2 linked regions of the Nothobranchius furzeri genome follow. The protein of the gene in region 1 purifies or fractionates together with the protein of each later gene. This does not show direct contact. Links are inferred from orthologs where the notes say so. Each region holds a gene or a part of one and is shown on either strand. Other genes may lie near its edges.

Region 1 (8,989 bases):
GCCTCTTGATTGTTCTTGGTTTTAGCTAGTGAGACTCCGGGCCTGACCATATGTGCATCAGATATGTTGATTGGTTCAGCAGTGGCGGACTGGTGCCAGACTCACTTTGCATGCACTGCCACCCCTCAAAAGCGCACACTTGGCTGAACTGGTTTGCGTGTCAAAAAGGGATGGAAGGGAAAGATGAGAGAGGGAGGCAGAGTACTGGCAAAGAAATAAAGAGCGAATGAGGAGGGAGGAGGCAGAGTGCCAAGACGGGAGTAACTGGAGCTAGCAAAACGCCATTATTTACCAGGACAAGGCTCAACTGAGATGCCATGTGGGGACCAAAATCATACCCCAAGATAATTGTGGATGTGTTAAAGCCAAAGTGATACTGACAGAACCTGTGGATTTTTTAGTTTTTGAACAAGGATTAGCAATTTGGATCACTTCCTGTCTACTTTTATGTCTGGTGTAGCTTTGATGCTCTGGGGTTAAGTTGCTGCATTTTGCAACTTTCTGCATCCTTAAAAAAAGCTTCAAATTGTTTAAAGTTGGATTCTGTGGAAAAGTAATACAAAGTTGACCTTTTATCTTTCTGAATGACTTGTTCTGCCCAGGTTGATAGGCTAACTGTTAGTCAAAGCAGGTTCGAGGTTAAGGAAAATCAACAATTAAGCATTTTTATAAATTTTTACTTCACCACCAGCTTCAGTTTGCTCAATTTGCCAAACAACATTTGCAAATGCAAATGATGGTAGCAGCCGCTAGCTGCTAGCCTGCAACATTTCCTGCAGGAATATCATGATATTTTTGTTGTAATAACTAAGAAATGCAAAATGTGGGGTGATTTAAGGGAGCTTATAAAGTTTATATAATAGGACTCACTTGACCTGTTATAAATAATAGAGATTAGAGTTGTTTTACAAAAGCGGTGATGCATTTTGGTCTTGGCCTCACTCAGACTAGCCATAGCACACTCCTAGTCCAAAGATTTTTCTACAGCAGGTAAAATATTTCTTTCACAGAATCTTTCTTAAAGAGATCTGTACTATCGCTTTGAGCTTTCTTTAAAAATGTATCTGAAGTAATTTTCCTCCTCCTTCTATTAGTCTGTTTTTGATGGATTTATTCAAATTATCTTGTTTTGTTTGTTGGAAGAGATTGAGACATTTGGAAAATGTTGGGGAAACTGTTGGCATGCCACAGATGAGTGATACTAATTCTTCCCAAAACGTCTTATGGACTAAGGTATTTTTTGGCATTCAAGTGGGTTCAACATTTTCCCCCATTTGTCTTTTCACTCTCTACCTCCCCTCAGTCAATCTACTTTATTTGCTTCATGTCTTGTACTCTGTGAGATTACTAAACCACCAAACCTCATGAAAGGAAGAGCGTGATTAAACACCACATCTGAACCCTCAATATGTTTAGTCATAAAGTAATCTTTGACCTTCAAAGCACATTGTCCCCATTTACTTTCAATAGGACATTTAATACATTGAGGGTAGGCTGGTTTGGTTTTTGTACACAAAATAAAACAATATAAAAAAATATGTTCTGTGCTGGAGTTACTCATAATGACACGTTGTGAGGTTCTGTCTACAGTCAACGCACATGGTTCATGTCCATGTAGATTTACTGCCCCGGTTGATGTCTTCACAACAGCCCAATGTAAAGAGAAAACTGCAATGTTCTTGTGATGTTGTGGTTTGCAGCTTTAGTAGGAGAATCTTTGAACACGAGGCTGTAAACCAGGAGAAATGGGAGGCATTGTGTGGTGTGGAGCCTGCTCTTAGTGGGGGTCGATAAGTAGTCGTGTCTTCGGTTGGTTTTCTTTTTTTTTTTTTTTATAAATATATTGTTTTTTTTCCCCTTTGGGGTCCATATAAGATGCTCAGCTGAATGTCGGGGGAGGAGGAGGATGGGTATTGGTGGAAAGACCACCTGAATCATACATGAGACCTGACTGTTGGATGTATGGTGACCTTGCTAACAGCCTGTGGTCTGCTAATGATCTGTGCTCCATGCTGTGCTTACAGATGGGAACTAACACACTTTGTAACCCTCCCCCTACACATTTTCACTGGCTGATGAAATTTAAAAATGTGGTGTAAATATCACTAATATTATGGGATTTCTTAATTCCACCATCTTTCCTAAAAGTGAGATTTAACCTTCTCTGTCAGAGTTTTTGTTCACCCTTACAATTGCCCCGAGGGAGAATAATTGCCCCGTTGTGACGGGGCTGCTGTTGCTATGGAGGAGTGTATGCGTGATTGAGATGTGCTGCTGTCAGCAAAAGCAGGCAAGCAAAACACAGATCGATGTGGGTCTACAGGAGCAGGGAAGGAACAAAGCGTGTGGGGTCTGTTCGTGCAAGGCTAACACCCCCCACCACACACACACACACACACACACTTGAAAGATGTGCTGCTCCTGGCCCTTTGAAGGACAGGCAAGGTGAAAAACATGGAGGCTCAATGGCAAAAGACTTAGACACTATCTCTAGGGTTTACAGAGAGCAGCAGTTGTGTGGACGATGACTCCTTGTTGATGTCAGATGTCAGAAGAGAATGGGGCAGATGGGTTCTAGACGATAGACCGTAAAAACAATATCCTAGTCCAGTTGTGTGGGAGAAATTTTCTTGACCCACCACGGCACTAGTCAGCATACTGCAAGAGACACAGACATGCAGTGTAAATCCGGTATTAAACACATACTGAATATCGCATTGGTGTTATTGTGTACCAGGATAATGCCAGTAAAACGTATACACTCGTACAGCAGAGGGGATGAAAGAGCTACAGTAGCCTTCTGTTTTACATCTGGGATGTCTCAGTTTGCCTATGAAGGAGCTGTCCGTGGTCTCCACAGTGGAATACAGTGGGTGGGAGGGGGGTTTTAGGATGGTGGTCATCTTCCCCAGCATTCTCCTCTCACACGTCTATTCAACTGTACCCAGAACCAAGTTAGCTTTGTGAACTAGCTTGTTCAGTCTCTTCGTGTCACGGTCAGAGATGCCTGCACCCCAACAGACCACAGCAGAGTGGATTTCCGAAGGACCTCAGTTTCCTCAGGAGGTGGAGGCGGCTTTGGCGCTTCTTATACAGATACTTATGCTTGGAAGGAACCCACCGATGCACCAGGAGAACATGCAAACTCCTTGCAGAGAGACCCCAAGCCGGGATGTGAACCTGGGACCTCCTTGCTGCAAGGCAACAGCGCTAACCACTGTGCAGCTGCTCTTAAATCATCAAATATCTAAATCATTCAAGATTCCTTTGTTTCTTTCTTCTCCCATCTTTTCTTCTTCAAAGGGACATTTATTATCATTTATGTTATAAAATGTATTTGTGTTATTTTTATTGATGCATTATTTGGTTGTTTAGAGAATGAGGCGCTACTCACCAGGTGGAATTCAATGAAACATTTAAATTACAGCAGCAATTTCACTATGGTAGACTTCTTCTAATTTGCCTAGGTAAACTCAGGAGTAACTGCTTCGTTTGTTAACAGGATACAGTGCAAGCAAATCCCTATGGTCTTTGACTCATTTGCTTGGCTCACATAACTACTTTTGGGAATGCAAATGATTGTCATTAACAAACCAGGAATGACTAAGTGTTATTTCCTCTCCCTCCTACTGATGACAGATTTGTCTGCTAAACACCACTCTGAGGAAACTTTGACGACTTGAAGAGACAGCTGGAACAACTGGAAGAGCCAGACTGCAAAGAGGCAACAGCATTTCCCTGAGAGCCTTTAGGACTTTCTGTCACTGCCACACAGATGTGGAACCCCCATCAGTCTGTCATTAAATAATCCGACAGCAGAACCAACCCAACCGATACATTACACAGACGTTTGTAGCCATGTCTGATCATAAAGACATGACGCATCGCCACCTACGGCACAAGCTTCAGAGTCTCGGCAGACGACTGGATGAACTGGAAGAAGCGACAAACAAGCTGCAGAAGTCCGAGGATGAGCTGTTGGATCTGCAGGTTGGTACTGGCTGACAATGAGACGAGTTAAGTGATGTAAACATTAATGAAACTCTTCTTCGTAGGACAAGATCATCCAAGCAGAGGGCAGCAACTCATCACTCCTTGGCGATGTAGAAACCCTGAGGAAACATCTCTTGAAGATCCAGGGCAAAGATGAGGAAGTACGCAAAGCTGAGGACCTTTGTCGCACAGTTCGAGAGAAACTGGAAGAGGAGGAAAACCTCACAAAGGAGCTAAAGGCAGAGATTGAGCGTCTGCAGCGGAGGATGGCTGAACTAGAGAAACTGGAAGAGGCTTTTAATAAAAGCAAGTCTGACTGTAGCCAGCTCTGCCTTAGCCTCAACGAGGAGAAAAACCTGACCAGGAAGCTCTCATCTGAGCTGGAAATGCTCAAGGCTCGTTTGAAGGAAGTGGAAGGTTCTGAAACAAGGCTAGAAAGAGCAGAGCAGGCTTTGGCTATGGAGCTTGAGAAACTGAAGGGATACACTCAGGCCTTTGTCAGTGAGCGCAAGAGGCTGTTGGAGAAACAGAAGGAGGATGAGAAAACCATTCTAAATTTGACAGAAGAAAAAAAGAAACACCTTGGCATATCGACAGAGCCAGGGCGTGCAGATTTCATGAGTTCAAGAATCGAGGATGAGCTGTCGTCCACTTACTCCCTCACGAGTAAGCTGGCTGGATACAAGAAGAAGATGGACTCCTTAAAACTAGATGAGAACATCAGCATCGTCAACAAATCGGACAAGAAGAAGATGAGCGGTCTTGGCGGCTCACAAGAGGACAACAAAGTAAAGGAGCTGACGCAGGAATTGGAGAAGCTGAAAAATCGCCTCAAACAGTTGGAGATAGTGGAGGAGGACTTGAAGAACTCAGAGTTTAAAAATGGAGAACTTCACGAAAAGTTCCAGATGGAACGAAATCGAGCTCGTCAACTAAGTGAACAGGTGGAGCAGCTAAGGACGCAGCTGTTCGGAAAAGGAGGGATTGGAGGCAACGGGGTCAGTCACCTGGAAAAGCACGGCAGTGAAGGCAGCAGTATTCATCCGAACAGTCCCGCTAAGGTCCTTGAAAATGGCAAAGCTGAGAATCAGGAGATCGTGAAGGGAGCTTTCAGACAAGAGAAACCTAAATTTAGAAGCGCTGCAGCTGCTTCAGAACCTAGCTCCCCTAAGCACAGGAACAGGGAGCTCTCCCCTCAGCACAAGAGAGAAACCAAACTGAGGAGCAGAGAGCTCAGCCACACCGAGGAGAGATCTCCAAAGTCTACGAGGAGAGCCCTCAGTCCTGCTATCAAGACCAGAAGGACACCCAAAACCTCAGCTGCTGCAATTGTGTCTGAAATTGGAAAACAAGATGGTGCACGGCTTACTGAGGAAAGGACACGAGGAGCCACGTACAGCTCCCTAAACTCCACTTGTAATGATGCTAAGAAGTTGTCTGTTCTGAGTCGCTACCCTCCAGCAGCTAATGACAAGAAGTCACAGAAGATTGTGAACAAACAGACTGATGGGGACCTGAAAAACAGCAGGGACAAGTTTTCAAAGCTCTACGTTGGTAGTGATAGCGAATCAAACAACTCTGATGCAGTGCCAGAAAGCTCCAGTGTCTCCGCGCTGGAGAAGGAGGTGGCGTCCGCCTCGGATCAGGAGTCTGTAGACCTGGTTCAAGAATCCGTGTCCGCGTCTGTGGCATCCACCTCATCCAGAGCCAACGGATCGTACGCGGCTTACAGGTCTCGCATCTCTCCGCTGCTCGTCAACGATCAGGGCTCAGACAGTCATTCCTCTGCTTCGGAAACCGAATCTATCAGCTCAAGGCCATCTGAAGTGGAACCCGTCACAGAGACAAGTGCAACTATTAGCAGTAGGACTGCAACCCCCAGGTATGCCAGATACCCACATGTCCATGACTCTCATTCAGAGGGCTCTTCTTCCAGGAGCTCATTTGACGAAGAGCTGCACAGTAGGACTCAGTCCTCGGACGGTGGCCAACAGGGATTCGTGCACATTCCGTCAGCGATGGAAATCCAGAGAGTGTGCAGCCCTCGGGAGGCGCTGAGGTCCAATGCCATCATCAAGCCCGCCATTGTTGAGATTGACAGGAAGGAATTGATGATTTCTGAGTCCTTGTCTACAAACGGCAAACCCAGTATCTCCACCAAGCCAGCAGTGACCACCACCAGTAAAATGACCAGTAGCATAACCATTTACCCAAACGACCCTGGGTCTTCCAGAACAAGCAGCCGCAGCAGCAGCTTGTCCAGCGAACCTTTGCCTGTTAAAGAACGCCACACGTCTACCAGTAACATCCTTATAGGTAGGTGTTTTATACAGTAATTTATTACCAAACTGATTTGGTTCATTCACACTAGTTGATCCAGTAGTTAGTAATGCACAGATTCTTGCTAAAGTCTGTTTGAAAGGTTTTTTTATGTAGAACGTTTATAATAAAGGGTCATGCAGCTGTTAGAAAAATGTTTTTATTTAACGAAAGACTAAAAGTTTCTGCTTAGAGTTTACAGGAAACTCTTTCTGTGTTCTAACTTTAACACAAGATTTGCTAGCTCTGAACGTGCACTTTGTAACTTTTGTCTCCCCCAACTGCCATTAAGGTAAATAATGCATTCTTTTAATATTTATATATGTTTTAATCTAAAACGTTAGGTTATGCATATAACCACTGTTCCCTGAAGGAGAGGAATGAGGTACAACGAAGGTACTATGGGACATCACGCCCTCGTGTGGCCTGGCTGAAGACACATTTAATCACGCCTGTAAGGCAAATGAAAGTGACGCTGCGTGGAGGCCCCGCCCTCCACTTATAAGCAACCGCGTCACTGTCATTCCTCAGTTCGATAGCCGCTCTTCACCGAGCTGGGCTGTGAATGGGGCAGCCCTGCGTTGTACCTCGTTCCTCTCCTTCAGGGAACAGTGGTTATATGCATAACCTAACGTTCCCTTTCAGTCGATTCACTCGGTACAACGAAGGTACTATGGGACTTATCGAAACGCCCCATGAGCAGCTATCAAACCTGGCCTCAGATTGCAACCTAAGATGGCAAGTCAGATCCTGCAGAGAGAACCGCACGGGCCACCGAAGGGGCCAAAACATCCAAGCGGTAACACCTCACAAAGGTGTGGGGTGTAGCCCAGCTTGCAGCTGAGCAAATGTCGCCAACTGAAACACCTTTAAACACCGCCCAAGAAGCAGCCACACCTCTAGTAGAGTGTGCCCTGACCCCTAGGGGTAGCTGGGAGCCAGTGACGCTGTAACACAGCGAAATGGCCTCCACAATCCAATGAGAAAGTCTTTGCTTTGACAAAGCTTTACCCATGGAGGGTTTGGCCAAACACACAGACAGTTGGTCCGAGTGTGATCTATATTAGCCTGCAGAGCACAAACCGGGCACAGACATTACAGTCTCCTCTGCTCCTCAGAGGCAAAAGGAGGACTTCTGAAGCCCGAAAGCTCTATGGTCATGGAACCATAGTTGAGCGGGATGACCTTAGGCAAATATGCAGCATTCGGATGCAGTGACCCTTAGCTCAATCTGATGACATTTTCAGACAGGAAGGGTGAACTGAAAGAGCATGAAGGTCTCCCACCCCTTTAGCCGATACAAGGGCTAAGAGCAGAGCTGTCTTATAAGACAGATGCTTCATACTGATCGATTCAATAGGCTCAAATTGGGGACCACACAGGGCCTCCAGCACCAAAGCGAGGTCCCAAGAAGGGGCAGACGATCGAATAACGGGTCTCAGTCTGCGAACCCCTTACATGAACCGAACGGCTAAAGGGTGAGCGCCAGGAGAAACTCCATTAAAAGATTCATGGCAAGCCAAAATGGCTGCCAGGTAGATCTTTAAAGTGGGGAATGACACGCCCTTGTCCAGCAGATCCTGTAGAAACGACAGAATGTCCACAGTGGAGCTCTGTGAGGGAACTACTGACCTGCTTAGACACCACACTTCAAAAGCCTTCCATTTATAGGCATATAAACCCCTTGTAGAGCATGCTCTTGAGCTCTGAATAGTTTTCACCACAGCTGGGGGAAGACCTTTAGCTAACAGGTTGGACCTTTCAGTAGGTAGGCCTGCAGCTTCCATAGATGAGGGCGAGGGTGCAGCACTTCCTCTTGTGCCTGTGATCGAAGGTCCTGTCCGATGGGGAGCTTCCATGGGGGGACTATCATCAGACTGATGATCTCCGGGTACCAAGACTTTGTGGGCCACTGAGGGGCCACCAAAATCAGAGATGTGCTCGACTTGTGCACTCTCTCCAGTACTGCTGGAATCAGTTCCACCTGCGGAAAAGTGTAGAGGAGAACGTTGGGCCAAGGGTGCGCCAAAGCATCCGATCCCATTGGAGCTGTCTGGTCCGTCAGGGAAAAGAACAGGGGACAGTGTGTGTTTGCGCTTGACGCAAACAGATCCACTACTGCCCTGCCAAACCTCAGCCAAATCTGGGACACCACCTCGGGGTGGAGCCTCCATTCCTTTGTCAGAGGTCCGCCCCTGGAGAGCAAGTCTTCTCCGTGGTTGAGGTACCCGGGGACATAAGATGCTCTGAGAGACAGGAGATTCAGATTGCACCAGTGCAGAAATGTGTGGGTGAGATTCAGTAGAGGAAGAGAGCGTGTTCCCTCCTGTCTGTTAACATTTGACACCACAGTTGTGTTGTCTGTGCGCACCAGCACGGTGTCCTCTCAGGTGATGACTGAAGTGTTTCAGGGCCAGAAACACAGTTAACAGATACAGAAAGTTGATATGGAACCTTGACTGGGTCGAGGACCATACCCTCCTCACCGCTAAACCCCCACACAGAGCCCCCCAGCCTCTGAGGGAAGTGTCTGTGGTCACCACTATGCGTTCTGATACCATCCCAATAGGGGAACCCGGGCTCCATGGGAGGAGAGCTACCATGCAGGCTCTGGTGACCGTCAACCTCCGGCGGAGATGAAGTGAAGGATAGAGATGATGAGAGCGGACCCAACGCT
Region 2 (8,859 bases), on another chromosome or scaffold:
TTCAGGTTCAGACTTGTGGACTAGTTAAGTGTTCCAACGTGATGTTTTAAATATCATTTGACTGTTATCTGTAAGATTATGTTGATCCGATGGATTTCTAGGAAGGAATGAAAGAATGTTTTACGGATGACCTCCAACATTTCTTCTGCAATCTCTCGCTGTTCTTGTGTGGCTAAAGGCCGAGGGTGAAGTGGCATCTCTGAACCGACGCATCCAACTGGTGGAGGAGGAGTTGGACCGGGCCCAGGAGAGGCTGGCCACGGCCCTGCAGAAGCTGGAGGAGGCCGAGAAGGCTGCAGATGAAAGTGAAAGGTGACGGACCAGAACAGCCAGAAAACGTCTTCTAATAAGTCAAAGTTTTACATTCTTATGTTTAATCTTTCAAAACCAAGACTCTTCACAGAAATGGAATATTTCACAAGTTGTTTTGACCTCTAGAGTGAAATAATAGGAACTTTTTTTTACATTAAGACCAAAACACAAGTTCATTTTTGCATCTTGGATCACATCTTCGTTAAACTCTCATCTGCAGAGGCATGAAGGTGATTGAGAACCGAGCCATGAAAGACGAGGAGAAGATGGAGATTCAGGAGATGCAGCTCAAAGAGGCCAAACACATCGCTGAGGAGGCTGACCGAAAATACGAGGAGGTACATGCTCACACATCCGTGTTTCTGGTACAGTTTTGAAACAGCTCTGACATCATTTCCTCTTTTAATCAGCGGTGATTTTGCGTGTTTTTAACAGGTTGCTCGTAAACTGGTGATCCTCGAGGGGGAGCTGGAGAGGGCGGAAGAGAGAGCGGAAATCGCTGAACTGTACGCACCATCACAAAAAAAAGCCACGCGCTGTTATTTAATATTTGTTGAAAGGACTGGAACAAGAATGTGTCTGTTGTTCTTGCAGGAAGTGCAGCGACCTGGAAGAAGAGCTGAAAAATGTCACCAACAACCTCAAATCTCTGGAGGCTCAGTCTGATAAGGTATCACCGAAGTTTGCCAGAAACTGATAAATACTGATTACTACAGCTGATTACAACAAAACCGTTTCCTTTTTGTGTTTAGTACTCTGAGAAAGAAGACAAATACGAAGAGGAGATTAAAGTCCTGAACGACAGACTTAAGGAGGTAAATTCTCGTCTCTTTGAGTTGCTCTTCGGGGTTGCTTCAGCACGGAAGAGGGTTAGGGCCACTGAAAAGAATGAAAAGTAAAGAAAGAGAATTCAGACTTTTTTTCCTCAGAATTTTGACTTTAATCTCAGAACTCATAGATTTTTGTCAGAGTTCTGACTTTTTATCTCAGGGTTGTTAAAGTTGGATCCTGAGGAAAAAGTCAGAATTCTCTTTCTTTACTTTTTTCTTTTCAGTGGCCCTAGTCATCTTCTGTACTACAGAATATTTAATATATACTAATAATATGTATTTATCTTTTTTTTTTTATTATTTTTAAAAGGCGGAAACTCGTGCAGAATTTGCAGAAAGGACAGTTTCAAAGCTTGAAAAGACCATAGATGACCTAGAAGGTTTGTGTTGTACTTTTATTTTTTAATCCATCCATACTGTCTCTTCCACTGAGCCTCTTCATTCCTTTACTGTAGTTAAGATTTAATTATCTTCACTTCTCTTTTTCTCCCTTTTGTCTTCACAATGTTCCTCTCTCTCCACCCTGCCTTCCTCCTTTCTGTGCCTTCCTACCTTCAGACGAGTTGTACACCCAGAAGCTGAGATACAAGGCTATCAGCGAGGAGCTGGATCACGCCCTCAATGATATGAACACCTTGTAAAACTTGTGTTTTTACTTTGTTTGCTTCTGTGTGGCATCTTAAAGGCATTTAGTCGCTTCTTCTCTCACCGCTCCTTTGTGCCTTTGTTCTGACCTGAAGCACAATAAAGATATTTTCTCTACTCTTTTTCCTCTTTCATTCATTCTTTGTCTAATCAACTTTTTGGGGGTTGCGTGTTGCACGAAAGTATAATTGCATTTAATTTTTGTTTACTCTACTTCTGTTTATTACAGAGAACCTTTCACATGCAAAAGAGGAAAATGTAGGAATGCACCAAGTCCTGGACCAAACGCTGCAGGAGCTGAACAGTTTGTAAAATGACAAGAACATCCAACAACGACGAAAACAAAAGAACTAGATTTTGTAAAAGAGTTTCCACATGCCATTCAATTCTTTCAATTTCACTCATGACTGCTAAACATTTTTATCCCATTTATGTATTTATGTTTTTTTTTTTGTTCATTTGTCTTTAAAAATGGTTTTGGGTCCAAACAATTACAGTATTGGTGCTAGGTATTGTGTTTTAGACCAAACGGAGCAAAAATAAAGTTCATGATTATGTCATTTTCAATACATGAACAGTAGTGATGAAGAGTGTCTTTTTTGCTGTTTGGTGTATTTATTTCTGTTGCTTTGTTGCAGAAAACCCGCTCTCAGACAGCTTACCTGTATGGACATGCAGTTTTCAGTGCGTTCCGTTATTCCAGTAGTTGCCTAATCTTTGTTCCCACAACTGTCACAGCACTGAATTCTGATTTTATCATCAGATCTGCATCATGACTGTGTTGTAAAGCCTAGTAGTACTAACTTCATGCTTCTGCTTCTCACCGCAAAAAAATTATTGAGCTTAAAACTCGGCTGAAAATGTACATTTCAACAACAAATTCAGAACCCCGCCCCAAACAACTTTTTAAATAAATGGTTTGGGAAGATGTCTCAGATAGAATTGTTTTGTTTTTATATTAAATTGATTTTTTTATATCAGGGTAAAACGTGTATAAGTCAGAACATTCAGCCCTGCTTTGGTAAGATAATTTGAATGAGCTGTTTTCTTTCATTCAATGGCAATAGTCGCTGTCTACTATGAAGAGTTGAATGTCTTAAATAGTGCAGCAGCGAAGAAGAATGGAGCTTTTAGCATGTTCACAGTTGCAACATTGTGCACGTTATTTTAATTGATAGCAATTTATTGAATAAAATATGTCATTGCGTTCAGGTAGCGTAGCGATCATAGACTGTAAATACTAGGTAGCGATGTACCATTAGAAAGGTTTATTTTTGATTTGTTGTAATGTCACTAAATCGCCACCAGGTTGCGATAAATTCAGCGGAAACAGCAGCCAAAGAAAGAAGACCTTAGCACGTTGGCATGTTCACAGTTGCGACAGTTTTCTTTTTGAAAGTTCTCTTAATTTATAGTAATTTATTGAATGGAATTTTTGTTGCGTTTTACATGATTAGTTTACGATGTTATGATTTTTGTTCCATCAGGAAGCGTAACCATAGAAAAGGTTTATTTTTTAATTGTAATTTCAACTATTTACCACCAGGCGGCGACAGACGTCACACAAGCAGCGTCAAAAAGTCAAGGAAGAGAAACCGTTTTCTTTTCCTTTTGCCTTCTTCAGATAGCTCTCACTGAAAGCTACAATTGATTTGAAAATCATACATTCATTCATCCATTTTTGGATGGATTTTCAACAGATTTTAAAATCAACCCCTCCTAAACATTTAGAGCCAAAGCTAAGACTTACCTAATAGGTGAAAAAATTAAACCCCATAATTAGAAAAATAGGCATTTTTAAAAAGACGTCTTGTCTAAGCTCACTAAATCCCCACAAGAGGGTGACATTTATCCAGCAATGTCGTAATAATAAATGCAAACAAAAAAAGTAGCACCTTCTGTTGTCACAGACTGAATGATTATGTAAAGACACAATATTTTGGAAAAACCTAATTCTACGTTTAACTAGTTGGAATCAAGGCGCAGTCCACTGGATCCGCGCTACCTGTCCAGTGACCTTCCAGTGCGCGCTCCTGACAGACTCCTTGGCTCTAATTAGCTTGGCTCGTATGCTCGTAACCAATATTTTGTAAACGTTCGTGTATGGATGATTGTTCATTTCCCAGCCATTATATAAAAATAAACCAACATTTTCTACATGAAACTTTCTGCCATGTGAACCAAGGTTTTTTTTCTTTCCACTGTTCCTCATTAGGAGCCTTAATCATTGCAGTTGCGTGCTCAATCTTGTTTTTCAGACGTAATTCAGTCAATTCTCTCAGCCTGATGTCATTCCATATGGCCTTCCTTCTGTCCTGTTGGATGTTTACCTTTGTCAAGTTAAACGTCAGCACCGGAAAATAAGTTATGCTAGATTTCACAATAAAGTTTAAAAGCATTTAAATACACCAAATCTATTATATACTTTCCAATTTTCCAAACAAAACATACAGACCAGAATAAACTGAATAAAACAAAATTCTTACAAAATTTATTTTTAAAATACCACATTTATTTCAGGTTTTAAATACTTATTTTGACACAACAAACCGGAAGCGTGTTGTTTGGCTGTGGCTAAACTGAAACTGCTCAGACCAAAGATCCGCTCGCCCAGTTCCCAGGATAAGGAATGCAGCGCTGGTAGCCATCCATACCGTGAGTAACTATTTTGTTGACTTCAGATTCTTAGGGTTAACTGTGTATTATAAAAATGTACTTTTAGTATCTAACAATAAACGTATTTATGCTAAAGTATCAGGATACGGAGGTGTGGTGAAAACAAAGACATCCCGGCCGGTGTTTTTTACGCTAACTTGTTAACCAGTACAGCTAGCTGTCGTCTGTGGCCACGGTTTAATTTAGTTCTTCTCATATCATTCTAAATATGTTACTATTGAATAGATGTTTGTCGACTTTATTCTCCTAGCTGCGTGTAATAAAGCTCTTTAGTCGGGCTGTTTTTATTAATAGTTGTCGGTGAGGAAGGTCTGTGTTGCTGGCTTCTCTGACACAACAGCCGGATGTTGTAGCTTATGCTTTTGCAAAAGCCCTTACACTATACAACTTATCTGCAGTTGTTCTAAACAAACTTTAAAACATGTCTGTGTGGACAAATTCCAGCCCCTTTAATCGAGCCAGAGTTAGCTGGACCGGGACAGGAGGTGATGTCAGTAGGACTGGTATGCAGAGGTCTGACATCAGCCTAAAGTCTCTGAGAAAAAAAAAACACTGAAGCTGTGTTGATTAGAACCAAATAAGGAGGGAAGAAGTCAAGGTCATAAGGGGTGATTTACCATTTTTGGACTGAACAATACTCCGATGCTTTGTAATGAAAGCTTACAGCTGTAATCGTCATATTGATTGTGTTTGTGCCACATTTTTAATCGTCAGTATGTTATTATTTACGTGCGTCTAACTTTTCTCCTTTGCTGTAGGAAGTTTTTAAGGCATCTCTCCCATCATTGTTCGAGTCAGCACCATGGCTGGCTTCAGGCAGGAGGATGTAGAGCTGTATTATGAGATGGGGGAGGAGCTGGGCAGGTAAGAACAGCATCAAAAACATCATGATGCTTTAAATTCCTTCTTTTTTTTTTTTCCTCAAATGTGTGCTTGGAAAAAAACAATTGTGTAATTCTGAGAACTGAAGGCAGATCAGGCACAAGATGCTCAGTTTCAACCTCATCTGACCCAAAGCTCAGCATCCAAACTGGGCTAAATAATTTTTGCATTGCACCAGCAACAATAAAAATAATCCTACATCCCTTTATGCTGTGCTGGACAGTTCTGGAGATGAGTCAACATTTTTTAAAGATTAAACCCACCTCTCTGTATTAGCTGGTTTTCTTCTGCAGTAATGCAGCAAAAGTGTGACATCAAGTCCACCAAGTGTGTCCTTCCACCTCGGCTTTGTCTCCAAAGATGAGAACGCTGTGAGTTTGCCAAGACAAGCTGCACATATTAAGTGATGGAGAATGGACTGCACTGTAAAATGCTGTGTGCTTCTTTTTTCTGTTGTTAAATTGCATTAATCTAAACTTATCTATTTTCTGGTAGATTACCTCCTCATTTATTGGGCAGTTTAAATCTCACCCTAAAATATTCTAACACAATTTGTTGATGCAGCGTCTCTCTCATCCTTTCCCTCTGCAGTGGGCAGTTTGCCATCGTCCGTAAGTGCAAAGAGAAGAGCACGGGTATCGAGTATGCAGCCAAATTCATCAAGAAGCGCCGCCTGTCGTCCAGCCGGCGGGGTGTGAGCCGTGAGGAGATTGAGCGCGAGGTCAACATCCTGCGGGAGATCGAGCACAGCAACATCATCACCCTGCACGATATCTTCGAAAACAAGACGGACGTCATCCTGATCCTGGAGCTGGTGTCCGGCGGGGAGCTGTTTGACTTCCTGGCTGAGAAGGAGTCTCTGACCGAGGAGGAGGCCACGCAGTTTCTGAAGCAGATCCTGGACGGAGTTCAGTACCTTCACGTCAAACGCATCGCCCACTTCGACCTGAAGGTCAGCAGCCTAAAGGGAAGCTGGGGATGTAAAATATTTGGCAGAATCAGAGTTTAGACGTTTTTATCAGAACTACTAACGAGCACGACTTTAATGATGTTTCTCAGAGCGACAAATATTGATTAATGATATTGGAACAACAATTAAAAATGTTTTCACATCATTTTCTTTTATTCTGCTTTAATATTTCAGCCTGAGAACATCATGCTTCTGGACAAGAATGTGCCCAACCCCAGGATCAAGCTGATCGATTTTGGGATCGCTCACCAGATCAAAGCTGGAAACGAGTTCAAAAACATCTTTGGAACACCAGAGTTTGTCGGTAAGAACCCACAACCTAAAATTCAGCTGACGTTCTTCCAAGCAGGCCTCTCAGCTAAACCATGTAGAGTGGAAGATTTTCCCCCTCAGATCACATCTGGTTTGAATTAAAGCGCTCATTCCTCTGTTCTTTACAGCGCCAGAAATAGTCAACTACGAGCCACTTGGCCTGGAGGCAGACATGTGGTAAGATGCCATTCTGTACCTTTTTTCCCCCCCTTCTCATCAGAAGTTTTTTTACTAAACCGTCTGATGCTTCCCCTCCTTATTTTACCTGTCTCCTCTTGTCTGCAGGAGCATCGGAGTGATCACGTACATTCTGTGAGTAACGCATCACATCACGTCTGTCTGTTGAGTCACTGTGGTCTTGCGAGGTCTACATCCAACTCTGTCCCACCTTAGGTTGAGCGGCGCATCGCCATTTCTGGGTGAGACCAAGCAGGAGACTTTAACCAATATTTCTGCTGTTAACTACGACTTTGATGAGGAGTATTTCAGCAACACCAGCGAGCTGGCCAAGGACTTTATACGCCGTCTGCTGGTCAAGGATCCAAAGTAAAATATACACTCCTGTCTCAAATTTGCGTATATTCTGTAAAAGAAAACATCAGAATTATAATCTAATAAATATCTTGGTCTACTTATTTTCAAACTGATGGATAATTGTCTTTCACAGGAAGAGAATGACAATAAATGAGAGTCTTGAGCATTCCTGGATTAAGGTGAGCATTTTCGTTATCTTCTAGGAAAAGTGGATTCCTCAACATTTTGCCTTCCTTGTTGGGTGTCACTTTTTATTCCAGATTATATATATATTTTTCTCCTCCAGGTGATCAAGAGACGGAACGTTCGGCAGGAGGACAGAGACCACAAGACGGAGCGTCGGCGTCTGAAGACCACACGGCTGAAGGAGTACACCATCAAGTCCCACTCCAGCATGCCTCCCAACAACACCTACGTGAACTTTGAGCGCTTCTCCCAGGTGCTTGAAGAGATAGCAGTGGCAGAGGAGGGCCTGAAAGAGCTGGAGCGCAACCAGCGCTCCTGCCAGGAGGATGTAGTGGCTCTGCTGTCCATATATGAGGAGAAGGAGGGCTGGTACAAGGAGGAGAACCAGAGTATCTCTGCCGACCTGAGCCACATTCGCCAGGAGCTGCAGCGCACGCAATCCCAGCGCAAGAAGTGCCAGGAGGACACCCGGCAAACTATGCAGAGCGCCAACACCCTCAAGCGCAAGTTTGGGCGGCTGGAAAACCGCTATGAGGTCCTGGTTGAGCAGGTGGCCTCTGAGGTTCGCTGGGTGGAGGAGCTGATCAAGTCCGTGTCCATGGAGATGGATGGTTTCGGTTCTGGCAGCATGCCCTGAGTAGGACGATGTCACACACTGTCATCTTCCAACGCTGTGCTGCTGCTCATCTGAAACACTCCTTCCTTTGTAGGTCAAGAGGATAGAATGTTGAAGTCATTCCCATACATTTTATAAATTAATTTATTATTTTAGACCTTTGATGTTCTGTAAATCAGCTGTTGTTGCAATCTGAGAGTTGGAATGCATCTTTTTTACCACTTTATTATTTTAAGAACTTTTTTAGTCTTTTTTTTCTTTTTTTCCAAGTTTGCATCATTATTTAAGAAAGTTCCCCAATATACATGTACAATACTAGATTTATGAGGGATTCAGGGGTATTTATTCATACAGCTACATGCTTTTGTTGGTTTCAGTCGACATTTAAAGTCTCCCTGATGTCTGGACTGAGACTTTCAGCACAGCTTTAGGGTAACGCTTTGTTTTACAGGTTATAATTTATTTAAAAGTGGTTCTCTTTTATGTTAAATTGGTGCCAAATATTGTCTTCCAGGAATTATTCTCGAAAATTATCATTAAATCAATCTGAATCAGATTACAGACCTGTAAAGTAAAGCTGCCTGATTTGGGAATGTATAAACTAGTATTTGCAGTGCCTGAGGTGCCTCGCTGAGCGATCACCTGCCATCAAGCTAACAGCATTTTTGCCACATTTAGTCTTAAACTGCAGCTGCTTTTGCACAGTAGTCATGTAAACCAAATGGTGCATGGAAACCTTTTCAGTGTATAAACTGCAGGATTTATGCTTCATCTCTGCACATGCAATACATTCCATCAGTTTCTCATCTAGCATCTACATTCCCTGTAAATATAACAAAAAGCATATATTATATATGTATAGTCTGTAGTATCCTGTACTCATCTGCACTTCTAAT

Evidence for each region.
Region 2: the proteins of luzp1 (region 1) and dapk3 purify together in Homo sapiens (affinity purification with mass spectrometry; 3 studies listed by BioGRID and IntAct, with this or other methods). This does not show direct contact. The link is inferred for Nothobranchius furzeri from reciprocal best matches to the Homo sapiens genes LUZP1 and DAPK3.

Annotation. Positions count from the first base shown.
Region 1 is NC_091758.1:27,125,489-27,134,477, reverse strand, and holds the start of luzp1 (leucine zipper protein 1), read left to right. Parts: upstream 1-3,656; 5' UTR 3,657-3,858; coding exon 3,859-3,990; intron 3,991-4,055; coding exon 4,056-6,309; intron 6,310-8,989.
Region 2 is NC_091751.1:45,570,971-45,579,829, forward strand, and holds dapk3 (death-associated protein kinase 3), read left to right. Parts: upstream 1-4,325; 5' UTR 4,326-4,442; intron 4,443-5,221; 5' UTR 5,222-5,265; coding exon 5,266-5,327; intron 5,328-5,936; coding exon 5,937-6,297; intron 6,298-6,489; coding exon 6,490-6,619; intron 6,620-6,755; coding exon 6,756-6,804; intron 6,805-6,912; coding exon 6,913-6,939; intron 6,940-7,020; coding exon 7,021-7,173; intron 7,174-7,294; coding exon 7,295-7,340; intron 7,341-7,447; coding exon 7,448-7,984; 3' UTR 7,985-8,183; downstream 8,184-8,859. Other genes in the region: tropomyosin alpha-1 chain, read left to right, coding at 179-312, 533-650, 748-818, 907-982, 1,065-1,127, 1,453-1,522, 2,017-2,099. UniProt on the Homo sapiens protein: Serine/threonine kinase which is involved in the regulation of apoptosis, autophagy, transcription, translation and actin cytoskeleton reorganization. Involved in the regulation of smooth muscle contraction.